Linked DNA regions of Arabidopsis thaliana. The protein of the gene in region 1 interacts with the protein of each later gene in a biochemical or structural test. Each region holds a gene or a part of one and is shown in the gene's direction. Other genes may lie near its edges. The genes, in order: BBX32 and WRI1.

Region 1 (3,825 bases):
TATTTTGTGTACAGCTTTTACGAATATTTGCTCAAAGTTTGGGTGTTTGGGAACAAAACTTCAGCAGTGAAACACTATAGGTAAGTTTAACTCTAGTCTACTGAGTGTATATATGTCTGATTGATTCAAGTCCGCTAAGTTCAACCAGCTGCCATCACATTTATCTTTCTGCTTGATATCTATGTTCTTCTTTTCTTTTCTGGTCTTTTAGTTTCAACATCTTTAGCCGAACAATAATAATTTGTACTGTTATTACTTGACATCTTGGCATCAGAGATATGTGGGAGAAGTCAATGAATGGTCTGCTAAGCTTGGTTAAGAAATCAACACCTTTGTCGTTTACATATATCTGTGAGAAGAGTGGAAATTCTTTGATCGATAAGGTAAACCCATCTGTTCATTGTTTCCATTGTATTACGTGAAAATTCTTCATCGCCTGGCATTTCCAATCTCATTATTTCTCATATATATTAAGATGGATGAATTGGCATGCTTTGCTCCTGGAATGTTGGCTTTAGGAGCATCTGGGTATAGTGATCCTGCTGAAGGAAAGAAGTTTCTCACACTCGCTGAAGAGGTAAACTTATGACTTGAATGATCTTTGATCATAGCGTCGTAAGTGCTTCAGATCTTTCGAATTTTTCGCTCTCTGCTTTTCTGATTTAGGCTGCTGAGATATAGCCTTTATTGCTATTTTCCACATATTTTGCAGCTTGCGTGGACATGTTATAACTTTTACCAATCAACTCCAACAAAACTGGCTGGGGAGAATTATTTCTTCAACTCTGGGAGTGTATGTCATTTGCCTGTCTTTTTCAAACACATTGTTTATTTTATGCGTTATTTATTGTTTAGTATACATGATGATTCAGGACATGAGTGTTGGAACGTCGTGGAACATCTTGAGACCAGAAACTGTCGAATCACTGTTTTACCTCTGGCGGTTAACTGGAAACAAGACATATCAAGAGTGGGGATGGAATATATTTGAAGCATTTGAGAAGAACTCGCGCATAGAGTCTGGATATGTTGGTTTGAAGGATGTAAGTTTTCCGTAGGCGCTTAATTAGATCCTGCATTGTTAAAACCTTGGTGAATTGAATTATATCATTCCACCATCTATATTAGTAATTGAGTGTAACTGATGGTAGATTCTTATTTCTTTCAATCATTTCCAGGTTAATACAGGCGTTAAGGACAACAAGATGCAAAGTTTCTTCCTTGCAGAGACACTCAAGTATCTCTATCTACTCTTCTCGCCGACAACAGTCATTCCTTTAGACGAGTGGGTATTCAACACCGAAGCTCATCCACTTAAGATTAAGTCTCGAAACGATCAGGTAAATCTCAAACAATCCAACAAAGTACTGCTACGAAAACCGGCATTTAGAATACGCCAGAGGCATTATGGTCGGATAACAAAGAAGTAAAACTCCCTGGAGAGGTCACAGTGTGATTCGTAGGAGGGGCTCTATGGATATATCTTAACAGAGCAATTGGATTTAGCTTGGCTATTCAAAGACCCTTTTATTTAAGAAACCATTTTTGGAAAGATTTCAAGATATAGACTATTGTTGTACTAGTTGGGATCAGAACCCAAACAGGTTCACCACAGTTTACACCTTGTGTTTTGTATCCTTACTCCTTAGATTATAAATTAAGAGTATTATCTTCTGTTTTGTATTCGACAAAAGATCAATGTATAAAAGTTTATATAAAAGACTGCAACAATGCAGAAGAAATGTAATGGAAGCAACCAAGAAAAGAAGAAGAAGCAATTTGCAATGAGACCAAGTCTCTGAAAAGACATTAGTGTTGACTAAATCTCCACGTCACACCAAAAGGAAGACGAATGACTTGGCGGCTAGTGTAATAGTTTTAAAAATGACCACATAATCTCACCAGCCTCAAAACCTCACGACACGTCATTCTCTCCAATTCTACAAACACCATTCATTTCATTTCCCTAAAAAATTATGGCTCATGTAAGTTTCTTTGATGTGTGAACTGTGGAAGAGACTACTCTCATCAACCATGAACCATAAAAACTCCACCGCTCTTTCTCTCCCTCAATCATTTACATCTCTTCCTTAAATCTCTCTTCCCACCATCATCATTCCAAACCAATTCTCTCTCACTTCTTTCTGGTGATCAGAGAGATCGACTCAATGGTGAGCTTTTGCGAGCTTTGTGGTGCCGAAGCTGATCTCCATTGTGCCGCGGACTCTGCCTTCCTCTGCCGTTCTTGTGACGCTAAGTTCCATGCCTCAAATTTTCTCTTCGCTCGTCATTTCCGGCGTGTCATCTGCCCAAATTGCAAATCTCTTACTCAAAATTTCGTTTCTGGTCCTCTTCTTCCTTGGCCTCCACGAACAACATGTTGTTCAGAATCGTCGTCTTCTTCTTGCTGCTCGTCTCTTGACTGTGTCTCAAGCTCCGAGCTATCGTCAACGACGCGTGACGTAAACAGAGCGCGAGGGAGGGAAAACAGAGTGAATGCCAAGGCCGTTGCGGTTACGGTGGCGGATGGCATTTTTGTAAATTGGTGTGGTAAGTTAGGACTAAACAGGGATTTAACAAACGCTGTCGTTTCATATGCGTCTTTGGCTTTGGCTGTGGAGACGAGGCCAAGAGCGACGAAGAGAGTGTTCTTAGCGGCGGCGTTTTGGTTCGGCGTTAAGAACACGACGACGTGGCAGAATTTAAAGAAAGTAGAAGATGTGACTGGAGTTTCAGCTGGGATGATTCGAGCGGTTGAAAGCAAATTGGCGCGTGCAATGACGCAGCAGCTTAGACGGTGGCGCGTGGATTCGGAGGAAGGATGGGCTGAAAACGACAACGTTTGAGAAATATTATTGACATGGGTCCCGCATTATGCAAATTAGGACATTTAGTGTTTAGTGCCTTAATTATAGTTTGTGTCATTGATCTGTTTGATCTTTCTTTTCAACGTAAACTAAAAATGGTCTGAACCAATTGAGATGATAGATATTTCTTTAGAGGAGATTTAATTTTTTTAATCAACAGTAAGAAGATTTTAGAAACGGAATAATGGTAATCCAATAGTCATTATCAGGTTCTTTTGAGATGAAATTGAAATCTTTTCTTTCCCAATTTTTTTAAACAAAGATAATTTCTTAGAATATTATGTTATTATCAATAAAAATTGTAAATTGAAAAGAAACTGATTTTCTTATTTCAAGGAAAATTCGTTATTATCAACATCAAAACAAAACAAAAGAGAATAGAAAATACATCAAAAGTAATTCCTAAGGACAAAAGTAATCGTAATCCAACTATAAAAAAAAAGCCAAAAGAAAAAGAAAAACCCTTATATGTATGTGTGTGTTATACAAACCCTACTCTGGAAAAGTCCTAATTCCTAAAGCTACTTTCAACAAAGACGCCTGAAGCATCTGCCTATAGTGAAAGATCAGAAGACTCTTCAACCAAAATCTTATTCTCATCCACCATGGAAGCTCTCTTCACTTCAACACACACACCCAATTTACAGACTAAGCCTCTCCTCAAATCTCCGCTGCCCACTTCTTCCCAGTCTTCGTGTTGGTTTTGTAATTCGCTACCCAAAACGCAATTCCCGAAGCTGAGACTCAGTAATGGATCAAGTCACGGGCTTCGTATACAAGCTCTCTTACGTAACGAGACGCCAAGTGAAGGTGAAGATAATAATGGGTTTGGTTTTTTTCCTGGGGATATCTTCTCTTTATCACAGGTACTTTTTCTCTTGTCTTGTGATGAATAAATTCAACTAAAGATTATAACTTTTGTTTTGGGTATGCAAAAATTCAGCAAAAGATTACAATT
Region 2 (3,927 bases), about 13 Mb from region 1:
GGAGAAGTCAAAAACCTTACTCATGGAAAACAACATTACCAAACCGAGCGATCAGTCTGAGTTTGACATCCTCTGATCCACCATAACCTAGCAACGTCTTCTTTGCCCTATCAAATCCCATTATAATGTCATCCTCCACTTTCTCTGTCACCCATAACCATGGATTTTCCAGTTTTCCCAAATCACTCTTCGCTAAGATTACCAAAGATTTTTCTTCTGCGTCTTTCCTCCACTCTGAAGAACCGGGCACAAGTTGAAAGTTGCTATCCTCTGGATCCGAACCAACGAGAAACCATCTAGAAATGTAACCGTTTGCGTAGATTATCTTTGTATTAGTACTCCCGACGTTTTTATTGTGTTTTTTAAGAAGAGAAGGTGGAACAGAGGATGCTCTCAATGCAACATTTTCAAGTCGTTTATGTGGTGGAACGTAAGACATCTCTGAAACGAATATATGATACTAGGAAAATTAAAAGCTGATTCCAAAAAGATAACTCAAGTTTCCGAGCAACGAAGTATGAGAAGAAGAAACAAAAGAGTACCTTTTAATTATATCAGCTTAGGTCATTCAAAAGAAGAACGACGATCATACGAGAGGAAACTGAAAAGGCGCAGAGCAGTGAACTGAAGTGGAAGAGACGAGACGGTTTGGTCTTTTTATCACTAGAAGTTTAGTCTTGGAAATGTGCATAATATTTAATTTCATTTCAATTTTCAAATCAAAAAATAAAACCGATAACGAAACTCTTGTTATCATATTATGAGCGTTGATAATTTAGAGAATCTCTGTTCTTTTAGAAAATTGTATGAACATTTTGTTAAATAAATAACTATTTTTAAATGCTAAACCTCATTGTTTAGTCCTAAATGTTAGGAATCTTAGTATTCATTTTTTTTTCCTCTTATGATATACACTTCCGGTTTAGATTTCTAGGACGTTTTAAATTTAATTATTACTGCTAATAAAAATAGTTATTTATTTTTAAACAATTAAATAAAACAATTGTATCTCTAGAGTAAAAAAAGTTTTAAAAATTTTGGTGAATGTTTTTATTTGGCAACCCAACTTAATTCCTGAAACGAATCACGAGAATTATTTAACGTACTACAAAAGGTACATCTAATTTTCTAAAACCGAATTAGACTATCGTCTTGGTTGTTTTTGGATGTTGCATGTCTATATTATGATAATTATTCTGTAAGCATTACAATTAAATCGTTTCTGTTTTTACTAAAGGAGTTTTGACTGTTTTAAACGACTGTAAACACTCGTGTGTCTGCTTAAATCATGTGGAAAGTTAAATGATAACAGTTAGAACATCCAACTTTACATATGCTTTGATTAGACATTTTCTACGATATGTTTCGGATTGACACGTGCTAATCATATCTGATCATTTTCCCATTTTACATATGTTCTAATTAGGCATTTTCGACGATACATTTTAGATCGATAATGTGTTAATAATCATCTGACATTTTTTACTTTGTATGTTCTAATTATGTATTTATACGATAAACATTAGATCGACACATGCAAAACATTCGACAATTTGTTGAACACTGAAGACCTAATTTGGTATAATACAGCTCAGCGAAGATACGTTACAACTAATTTGGAGCGTTTATAGAAAATATAGGCAAATAGCCAAATATGCTAATAAAAAGATTTAGAACTTTAATAGGTAATTTAACACATTTTATAACACACAAGCATATATATTTAAAAGGGAAAAAACTAGTCAACTTTCATAGACCATCATTACCATAATAACTCAATTCAATCAAATTTTAATTTTTGGCTACTATTTTTCTTTTCTAAAACCAAAACATCATCATAGTAGATTCTTCAATTTTAAAATATAGAATTCAAATTGTTGACCAGGGAATAAATAGAATTGCAAAAAAACAAATTAAGATATTTTACATTCCAACTTTTCCCCCAAAAAATTAGAGAAAAAAATCAAATTAAATTCAATAATTCCAAAACATAAAACGTACAAAAAAGTTAATGATAAAAAAACGTAAAAAAAAATACAAAAATACAAAGAAAAAAGAAAGACAGCGTGGAGAGTAAAGCTATTGGTAGCATGGCTGCAACAGAAGGCCAAGTGTTTGGTCTTACAATTTCATTTTTAACTCTTTGTGTTAATTAACCCAATTAGCCCTTTCCTCCTTCAGGGTTTATTTAACTTGCCCTTTCTCGTTTCCTCCTTTTTTTCTTAAACCACTCTGCTTCCTCTTCCTCTGAGAAATCAAATCACTCACACTCCAAAAAAAAATCTAAACTTTCTCAGAGTTTAATGAAGAAGCGCTTAACCACTTCCACTTGTTCTTCTTCTCCATCTTCCTCTGTTTCTTCTTCTACTACTACTTCCTCTCCTATTCAGTCGGAGGCTCCAAGGCCTAAACGAGCCAAAAGGGCTAAGAAATCTTCTCCTTCTGGTGATAAATCTCATAACCCGACAAGCCCTGCTTCTACCCGACGCAGCTCTATCTACAGAGGAGTCACTAGGTTTTTATTTTTTTGGAAATTAAATGATTGGTTGTTGAGATTGGATTTGGGTTTTGTCTTAAAACTGCATTTGTAAGATTGCATGTTGTTTTGTGGGATTTTGCAGACATAGATGGACTGGGAGATTCGAGGCTCATCTTTGGGACAAAAGCTCTTGGAATTCGATTCAGAACAAGAAAGGCAAACAAGGTTTCGTCTTCTTCTTTTTTTCTTCGTAACTCATGATTTTGTTTGTTTTAATAAAGATCTGGACTTTAACTGATAAATTTGGTTTCTTTGATCTGTTGTTTGATCTCAACTTCGTCACAACTTCACCAGTTTATCTGGGTAAGCTCTAATTCTCTGAAACAAAAGATCAATTGTTTTTTACTAAATTGAAAGAGAAAAAAAAAGAGAGAGTGGATTTGGTCAGAAGAATCTCAACTGCTTTCACGCGTAATTGCAGGAGCATATGACAGTGAAGAAGCAGCAGCACATACGTACGATCTGGCTGCTCTCAAGTACTGGGGACCCGACACCATCTTGAATTTTCCGGTAAACCAAAAAACAAAAATCAGATTGTTTTGATATGCATGTTTGTGATTTTGGAATCTGGATTATAATTAAAAAAAAAAATGGGGAAAATCAGGCAGAGACGTACACAAAGGAATTGGAAGAAATGCAGAGAGTGACAAAGGAAGAATATTTGGCTTCTCTCCGCCGCCAGAGCAGTGGTTTCTCCAGAGGCGTCTCTAAATATCGCGGCGTCGCTAGGTTCCTTTTTTTCTCTCTTTCTTTTTTTAATTTCTTTAGATTTATTTTTTAAATTTCGGAATTTACTACCAAATTGAGAAATGATTTTTCCTATTTTCGGATATCTGAATAACAGAATTAATTATTAGGAAAAAATCTGATCATGAAAATTTTGCTTTTAGAATATTCTCTTTTTCTTAAAAAAAATCATAAATTATGTTTTTTTCAGCACTGCTAAAGTTTATGGATTCAATAGTTTGGTCATTTTATTCTTAAAAATAGGATTATTTTTGTTCATAAAAACAGGCATCACCACAACGGAAGATGGGAGGCTCGGATCGGAAGAGTGTTTGGGAACAAGTACTTGTACCTCGGCACCTATAGTACGTTATCTCCTTTCCCTTTTTTCTTCTAGTAATTTTTAGAAAAAAATAGATATGTACTCTTGGTTAATTTAAAATAATTAGCGTAATTATTGACTTTTTTATAACTTACCGGGCATAACGGATCCTTTTTACCTGTTATGCTTTATAATATATAATTTTGTAAGTATAAAATAGAGTGTGATAATGTTTAGACTGTTTTTTGTTGTTGTTTATAAGAGTGATTTAAGAATATTAATTTGTTTAGTGAGACAATTAGAATAATATAATGGGGAAGCAGTGGCAGTGGGGTTTGAA

Evidence for each region.
Region 2: the proteins of BBX32 (region 1) and WRI1 form a complex in vitro, tested with the Arabidopsis thaliana proteins (one study listed by BioGRID).

What each region holds. Positions count from the first base shown.
Region 1 is NC_003074.8:7,411,734-7,415,558, reverse strand, and holds BBX32 (B-box 32), read left to right. Parts: upstream 1-1,831; 5' UTR 1,832-2,168; coding exon 2,169-2,846; 3' UTR 2,847-3,114; downstream 3,115-3,825. Other genes in the region: MNS2 (alpha-mannosidase 2), read left to right, coding at 15-80, 275-383, 476-577, 713-793, 873-1,043, 1,179-1,430; AT3G21140 (Pyridoxamine 5'-phosphate oxidase family protein), read left to right, coding at 3,473-3,733.
Region 2 is NC_003074.8:20,112,506-20,116,432, forward strand, and holds the start of WRI1 (Integrase-type DNA-binding superfamily protein), read left to right. Parts: upstream 1-2,178; 5' UTR 2,179-2,303; coding exon 2,304-2,515; intron 2,516-2,621; coding exon 2,622-2,704; exon of another isoform or gene 2,705-2,736; coding exon of another isoform or gene 2,737-2,833; coding exon 2,834-2,842; intron 2,843-2,960; coding exon 2,961-3,049; intron 3,050-3,143; coding exon 3,144-3,268; intron 3,269-3,553; coding exon 3,554-3,630; intron 3,631-3,927. Other genes in the region: AT3G54310 (DNA-directed RNA polymerase subunit alpha), read right to left, coding at 40-439. UniProt on the Arabidopsis thaliana protein: May be involved in the regulation of gene expression by stress factors and by components of stress signal transduction pathways.